Linked DNA regions of Coturnix japonica. The protein of the gene in region 1 interacts with the protein of each later gene in a biochemical or structural test. Links are inferred from orthologs where the notes say so. Each region holds a gene or a part of one and is shown in the gene's direction. Other genes may lie near its edges. The genes, in order: RANBP3 and RCC1.

Region 1 (4,280 bases):
CCAAACTCTGAGAGCATTAAACTGTCAATTTTCCTCTCTTGTGTTAATGATACCAGAGAAGCACGAGCTCTAATTAGAACACGGATAAGGAACACACTGTGACCTGCTGGTTCTTAAGGTCTAGAGAGTGTAACTTTGGGAGGTAAATTCCTGCTAACTCACAACCCTGAACTAGGTCACACCACGCACTGTCAGTGCCGTGCGTTCATTAGGGAAGCACAGCACAGCAGTGCCCACAATTAAAGCTGCCCAACTCTTCCATGATAAGAGCTGCCATCTCTCACAGGTTCCACCAGCTTCCAGGCTGTGAAGCACAATGTTCTGCGATGGAGAAACGTACCAGAATACGTGCTTAAGTTCAAAATGTAATTACTGTTTTTTAGATACTCACATAACGGGTAATTATACTCACACCAATTCAGTAGTGTTTGCCTCAGTTTGTAGGACATGTCCGCTTTGGGACAGGCTTTAATTCCACACAAACTGGAGCAAATTCAGCCACATTGTGAATCTGTGCAAATGACGGTTCTTGTGTGATGAGACACGAGAACGTGCTCAGCTCCACGCTCTGCAGGTTGTGTGTAAAGAAACACATCACGCTCTGGGCACCGTGTGTGTTTGGACATCGCAGCTTCCAGCACTGACACCTGTGAGCTGCTCGGGGACGTGAAAATCACCATCAGACCTTGCCGAGCTGTTCAATATCCAGCTGTTATTGCTCAATACCCAGAAGAGGCCCCTCGTCACTTCTATAGGTGACAATGTCGGTCATGGCACTTTGCAGGCTGAGGGAGCTGGAAACAGAGCTGCTTCTACAGCTGGAGCTACTAACGCCCTGCTGGTAGGACTGCTGGTATTAGGGACTATTAGGAACTGCTGCTCCCAACATGGGAACCACCATCCCACCCATGCACGGCGAGCTCCAGGACTTCCCTACGTAAAGTGCGTAGGGTACGTAAAGTGCGTAGGGTACGTAAAGTACGTAGGATACGTAAAGTACGTAGGGTACGTAAAGTGCGTAGGGTACGTAAAGTACGTAGGGTACGTAAAGTGCGTAGAGTACGTAAAGTGTGTAGGGTACGTAAAGTGCGTAGGGTACGTAAAGTGCGTAGGGTACGTAAAGTGCGTAGGGTACGTAAGCGTAGGTCCTTGAGAATCACAGCGTGCCGTGCCACCACCCCCGGGGGCAGCTGTGCCCGCAGAGCGCACGGCTGCAGCCCTGTGTGCAGAGCCTGGGGTGGCAGCATCACGCACTGTACGGAGACACGTTGGTTGGAGCACGGAAAGCGCGGCGGGCCGCAATTCAAGCTCCTGCTGACAGAACCGCAGCGCCTCCAACCGGCGCGACCGCCCCAAAACGGAACCACGTGCCACACCCGGCCCGCCTCGCGCATGCGCGGACACATCCGCCATTATTGAGCGCCCTCCGCCCCGCCCGCCCGGCCGTTCACGCATGCGCAGAGCGGCCGTAAATTGGCCGGTAGTGGAGCCGTCCGGCCGCGCGATGCATCTCGGGAGTGATTGAGGAAGTAAAATGGCGGACCTGGCCAACGAAGGTGGGTACGGGCAGGGATAAGGATCAGGACAGGGATAGTGATAAGGATCGCGGCTGGGATCGGGGCGGGCGGCCGCTGCTGTGCGAGGCGCTGCCGGGACGGGCCCGGCTCCAGCTCCAGCCTCGCTCCGCGTCCCGCCCGGTCGGGTCCCGCGCTCCGCTCCGGGCCGCGCTCAGCGCAACGACTCCGTGCGGCCTCACGGCGCCCCGGGGAGCGGGCGGACAAAGGCGGCGCCGCCGGGACGCGCTGCGCTGCCCGCTGTGCTCCGCGCTCTGCTCCCCGCGGGGCCTCCAGCCGGGCCGGGCCCGCCGGCTCCATGGCGGCCCGCTCCGTTACCGCCCGGCCTGCGCTGTCCCCGCGGTCCCGGGGCTGCTCCGAGCGGGTCCTTGCTGTTACCGCTGCCGCTCCCTTTGATGCTGGGAGCCCTGGGGGCTGCGTGCGGCCGGACGAGGCGGAACAGGCGTTTCTTGGCTTAGAAACGTTGGGACTAAATTGCTGCGGAGATTCCAGAGCGCTGTGGGGCTGTGGGTGCAGCACGGGGGGGTTCGGCCCCGAGGGCTGCGGGCGCTGCTTAAATGGCAGCGGGCAGCAGCAGGTCGGGCAGCCCCCGCTGGGCCCAGCTCGGCCCGCAGCAGCCTGCAGCCGTTCTCCCAGTGCGGTGGGTGCAGCTCCATCCTCATCCGAACGGGAGGAGCTGAACGCAGTTTAGGAGCCAGAACGGACAGTGCTTCCATTCGGTGCTATTCCTGATGCTCAGGATTTCTGCCAGTGGTGTTTACAGCCCTGATGTTAACGTTAGACAGAAGGAAGTGTCTTTTGGGCAGGATCCCACCTGCAGCTGACCACAGTGTTACACCAAAAGCATTGGGTGGATCTTATGATGCAGCACACGTGGGGCTGTTGGCTCCCAAATTGAAGGGATGCTGTCAGTGCTACCTAAAGCAGAGGGAAACCTGCTGATGGCACCAGGGCTTGGGAGATGAAATAACACCTTCTCTGCCAACACAAGAGGTTTGTGCTTTAAAAATGGTATGAAATTTTCTAATTACTCCTGGGTATGTAAAAGGCACCATGTGCCCATAGCGGCTGTGGCAGCGCTTTGTAGAAGTTGCCTGTTCATATGATCAGAGACAAAAAGGGTTTGAAGATAAACCAGATTGTGTCACATGCTCTATGTCTTGAAAGCAGAGTCCTCAAAGTGAGGCAGCAGTATCTACAAATATATTTTTTCTCCCCTTTTCCCCCACCATCCTGTTGTAATTTATATTCACCATGACTTCATTGGTGAGCTCCGGGTATGAATGATCCAGTGTCATTAAGTATGATCGGACTTTGCTTGTGGGGTCTTTTTCAGTGATCAGCTGTTGGCTTCGTAGCTTTCTTCTTGCTTTCAGTCTATTCATAGCTATTGGAAGAGTCTGGTTTTGTTACCTGTCCCTTTGGAGTTCTATAAAACACAAATGCCCAGGTCTCTTCTTTAGCTTGTCCTTCAGGCCCAATTGTTCTGCCTTGGTTAACTTGGAGCAGTCTGTGTGTGTGGTTGTGTTCTCAAATCAGATATTATCTGCTTACCTGCATTCTTTTCCTTTGTAAGCTGTTGCCATCAAATATTCTTCAGCTGACGCAGATTTGGGTTCCACCACTTTTCTCTGCCATACTGCAGTATAAAGGGAACACCTGCAGTTATTTTCCAGGCCTGATGCCATATGGGCTTCTATACGTATATAATTCAGCTGCTATTTCATAGTTGATTTGAGTGGTACCAGAGCAGGCAGGAAGAGCAGACTGTGTGGTGAGGAAGTGGGGTTGCTGAGAAGATGATTATTGTCCATAGAACCAGCACTTCATTCTGTTTACAACTAACATCCTTCTTTTTTTTTCCCATTGATTTTATTTTCCAGATGTTTTGAATTCTCCTTTTTGCCCAAATCTGATGGAAGGGTAAAGAAAACCTTCTGAAACATCTACATAGCCATTTTTTTCCTTCTATCTATAGTGTGCTGATCTTACATCAAGCCTTAACAAGGATGCATGTTGCTGCTTCCTCATAGCCCATTCTGTAGGGATCCCCCCGGCCTTTTTCCCCCCTTGTGCTGTTTTTCAGGTGATTATCAGCTGGTTTTGCTGTTCATTTGTGCGTTGGCTTTACATTATTTTGGTGCTCATCCTGCTCCCACCAGCTGAGCTGAGGGAATTGAGCTCCATAAGGAAATATTTGCAGCGCTGTAGGTGCCTTCCATAATGGGTTCATAAAGGGACACGTTTCTGATATATGTGCACTCGGAATCTCCGTTGGGCTTTTCAGTCATGGGGCACTTTGTGCTGCACTGAAGGCTTAAATCTTTATTTCAGAAACCATGCCCAGCCCCTGTGGCTGTGTGGATGTCAGCTGTCACAGGGGTAAAATGAGGTCATGTTTTGTCTGCTTGGAGGGAACGTGGCTGACCTTGTAGCCTCAGAAACAGCTGAATGTAGTCACACATCAGAGTGAAAGAAATAAAAATCTCACTTAATAGAATACATGATTGAAGATGTGATACCTCTGAGCAATTGAGGCCCTGATTTGGTTTCCAAGGCCTGTGAAGTAAGGTGATGCTGTATCTGTATGTGTGGTAGTACATAAGGCATGTTTGGATGTTAACAGTGAAGTGGCTGATAGCTCTGTTTTGCTGTACATAAACCTTACTGTGCCTGGTGCAATGGAAGCACACTGAACATGGAAAT
Region 2 (2,961 bases), on another chromosome or scaffold:
AGCTTTGCTGAGGAGCAGAGACACCCTGTCTCTTCCTGGGCTGTTCGAGGGCTTGTTTGTCAATTGGTTGCTTAAATTCAGTGATCTGCAACTGAGAGGAGAGGAAAAGGGTGTAAATCATAAGCTCTCTTCTGATGCCTTGTTTCTCATCCCCAGAGCGCCTGCTGGTCCCCCAGCGTGTCCCTGTCAGAAGCAAAGGCAAAATGCGTTTCCAAGATGCTTTCTGTGGGGCTTACTTCACCTTTGCCATCACACGGGAAGGACACATCTATGGGTTCGGCCTCTCCAACTACCACCAGCTGGGTGAGTTTCATTTGCATCCCTGCGGTTCTCCCTACTTTGGTGGGGCTCCAGAATGGACCTGATCCTACTGTGCATACCCAGTGCCCATTGCAGGAGCTGGAAAATCATGCTTGAGGCTCTGGGTTTGGTTCCCAACCCCTTCATTTGCTGGGCTGGGCTGTGTGAGTGGGGTCAGAGCCCTGTGAGGATGGCTTAGTGCCCATACCTGATGTGCTCGGCTTTGTGCATCTCACCCTGCAGGGACCCAGGGCACCGAGCCCTGCTTCTCCCCACAGAACCTGACGTCCTTCAAGAACTCCACCAAGTCCTGGGTCGGGTTCTCTGGTGGGCAGCACCACACCATCTGCGTGGACTCGGAGGGTGAGTATTGGTGGGATGGAGGGGCTGCCAAGCAGAGTGGGGTTCCTTAGAATCCCAGTCCCTTATGGGGGAGAATTTGGGGTCAGGTTGAAATGCTGAAATACTCTGAGTCCCCCCCACAGTTCTGTATCTCACTGGGGAGCCCAGAGTTGATGGTTTGCTGAGGGATGTGGGAGGGAGGAGCGATGCTCCCAGCTCCTGCATGGTCAGACCTGGGCCAGGAGGGGTCTGTCTGCAGCCCTCCAGCCTCCTGTGGTCCCTGCCCTCCTCACTTCACCACTCCTGCTCTCTCTGTCGTACCCCAGGTAAAGCCTACAGCCTGGGCAGGGCTGAGTACGGCCGGCTGGGCCTCGGGGAAGGGGCAGAAGAGAAGAGCACACCCACTGTCATCCCAGACCTCCCCAACATCTCTTCTGTTGCATGTGGTGCATCGGTCGGCTATGCTGTCAGCAGTGATGGTGAGTGCTGGGGGCCTCATCTACCTCTCCCAGGGCTCTGCCCATCCCTTCCCAGAGCTCCATCACACACTGGGTTGGGACTCAGCTCGTTCCCTATGCTGCTGCAGCCCCCAGGTGGCACCAGCCCAGAGGCAGCAGCTGCTCAATGTGTTTCTATGGGCACTGGACTGGGTTTGTCAGAGCCCAGTGGGGCTGGTCAGAGAACTAAGCCGTGGCCATGCTTCTATGGGAGCTCTTTGTGGGCTGTATGCAGTGCCTGCAGCTGCAAGAAGGATTTGCTGTGGTGTGAGCACAGGCAGCACGTTGGCGTGTTTGCATTGCTGGCTTTAAGGCAGTCCATGCAATGAAACAGTGTTCTATGGGAGGCCCAGATGCCTCCTTCCTCCTCTTCCCCCCCTCAACCTGCCCCTCTGGAACCCTTTGGTTCCCCCCTTTGCCCAGCTCCAGATGCTGTTTCTACCCAAAGCCCAAACTCACATCACCTCCTTTGCAGGACGAGCATTCGCGTGGGGAATGGGCACCAACCACCAGCTGGGCACCGGCGAAGAGGAGGACGTCTGGAGCCCCGTGGAGATGACAGGGAAACAACTGGAGAACCGCCTGGTCCTGGCTGTGTCCAGTGGAGGCCAACACACAGCCCTGCTGGTCAAGGACAAGGCACGGAGCTGATGGCTCCATTGGGGCGCAGTGGGATCATGGAGCCCACGGGTGCCTCCTCCTGCCATCAGCCCCACCTCGGGCAGCTGCTTCCCAGCTCTGCTGTCTCCCAAACCACAATGGGGGAAGGCCGAGGTGTCTTCTCAGGTGCCCCGTCTTCTGTTTTGTGTTGCCTTCCAGGTACCTGCACTGGGAAGGGAGATGCTGCGAGGATGGATTTTATACATTAAGTTTAAGAATAAGTGAGGGGTGGGGGGGGGGGAATTGGAAGCTGTGTGTGCTTGGGGCTGGTCAGGAGGCTGGGAGCTGTACAGCAGCTGATGCTGAATTTCTTTTTTAAAGCAAATGTAAAAAGTATTTTGGTTGATTGAAGAAGAGAGGGAAGGGGGGGAGGGGAAAAAAAAATCTCTAGGCGTTTGGAATAAATAAGTTTTGATAAGTGCTGGGCTTCCCTCTGTGCTGTGCAGGATGGGCTGCTCTGTGGGGCTGCTCTGTGGGTCTCAGTGCTGAGTGATGCAGTGTGTGTGTGTGTGCAGCTGTGGGGTTCGGCCGCAGGATGGCAGCAGTGGGAGCAGAGCTGAGGGTGGCAGAGAGGAGGGGAGGGTCCCTATGGGGTCCTGCTCACCCCGTGCTGTCCCTGACACCGCTGGGAGCTCGGGCAGAATGGAAGAGCCTGGAGTTGAGTGTTGAAGCTGATGGGTTGAATCATGGAGGTGTTTATTTGTTGTTAATTAAGGAGCAGGTTCCTTAATGAGGCTGCAGTTTGGGCTGGGGGTTTGGTTGGGTGCTGTGTGGGGTTTGCTGCCCGCAGCCCTTTGCTCTGCACGTTTTAGGCTGGGAGGGATGAGCTCAGAGGTGCAATTAGGGCTGAGCATGAAGCTCTATTCCTCTCCCAGCAGCACTGAGCAGGTTTGTGTCTGGACCCAGACATCACAGACATCATCCCTTATTGCCAAGCAAGGAGCCCATTCCCTACGAATCACCATCAACATGGGCTCACCCCAACCTGACGCTGCTCCTGGAGACCACCACCCTCCATTCAATGCTCCTCCATCACCCTGCATGACCTGCTGGGGGAACAGCTCCTTTCCTTGGGCCTGATTCCTGAGGATGGGCTCATTTCCATAAACAGAGCTGTTATTTTTATACCCCTTCCAGCAAAAAATAGCAACCTCCCCCCCCG

Evidence for each region.
Region 2: the proteins of RANBP3 (region 1) and RCC1 form a complex in vitro, tested with the Homo sapiens proteins (2 studies listed by BioGRID). The link is inferred for Coturnix japonica from reciprocal best matches to the Homo sapiens genes RANBP3 and RCC1.

Annotation. Positions count from the first base shown.
Region 1 is NC_029543.1:271,948-276,227, forward strand, and holds the start of RANBP3 (ran-binding protein 3), read left to right. Parts: upstream 1-1,423; 5' UTR 1,424-1,534; coding exon 1,535-1,556; intron 1,557-4,280. UniProt on the Homo sapiens protein: Acts as a cofactor for XPO1/CRM1-mediated nuclear export, perhaps as export complex scaffolding protein. Bound to XPO1/CRM1, stabilizes the XPO1/CRM1-cargo interaction. In the absence of Ran-bound GTP prevents binding of XPO1/CRM1 to the nuclear pore complex.
Region 2 is NC_029538.1:1,935,800-1,938,760, forward strand, and holds the end of RCC1 (regulator of chromosome condensation), read left to right. Parts: intron 1-156; coding exon 157-303; intron 304-543; coding exon 544-663; intron 664-968; coding exon 969-1,121; intron 1,122-1,614; coding exon 1,615-1,790; 3' UTR 1,791-2,220; downstream 2,221-2,961. UniProt on the Homo sapiens protein: Guanine-nucleotide releasing factor that promotes the exchange of Ran-bound GDP by GTP, and thereby plays an important role in RAN-mediated functions in nuclear import and mitosis.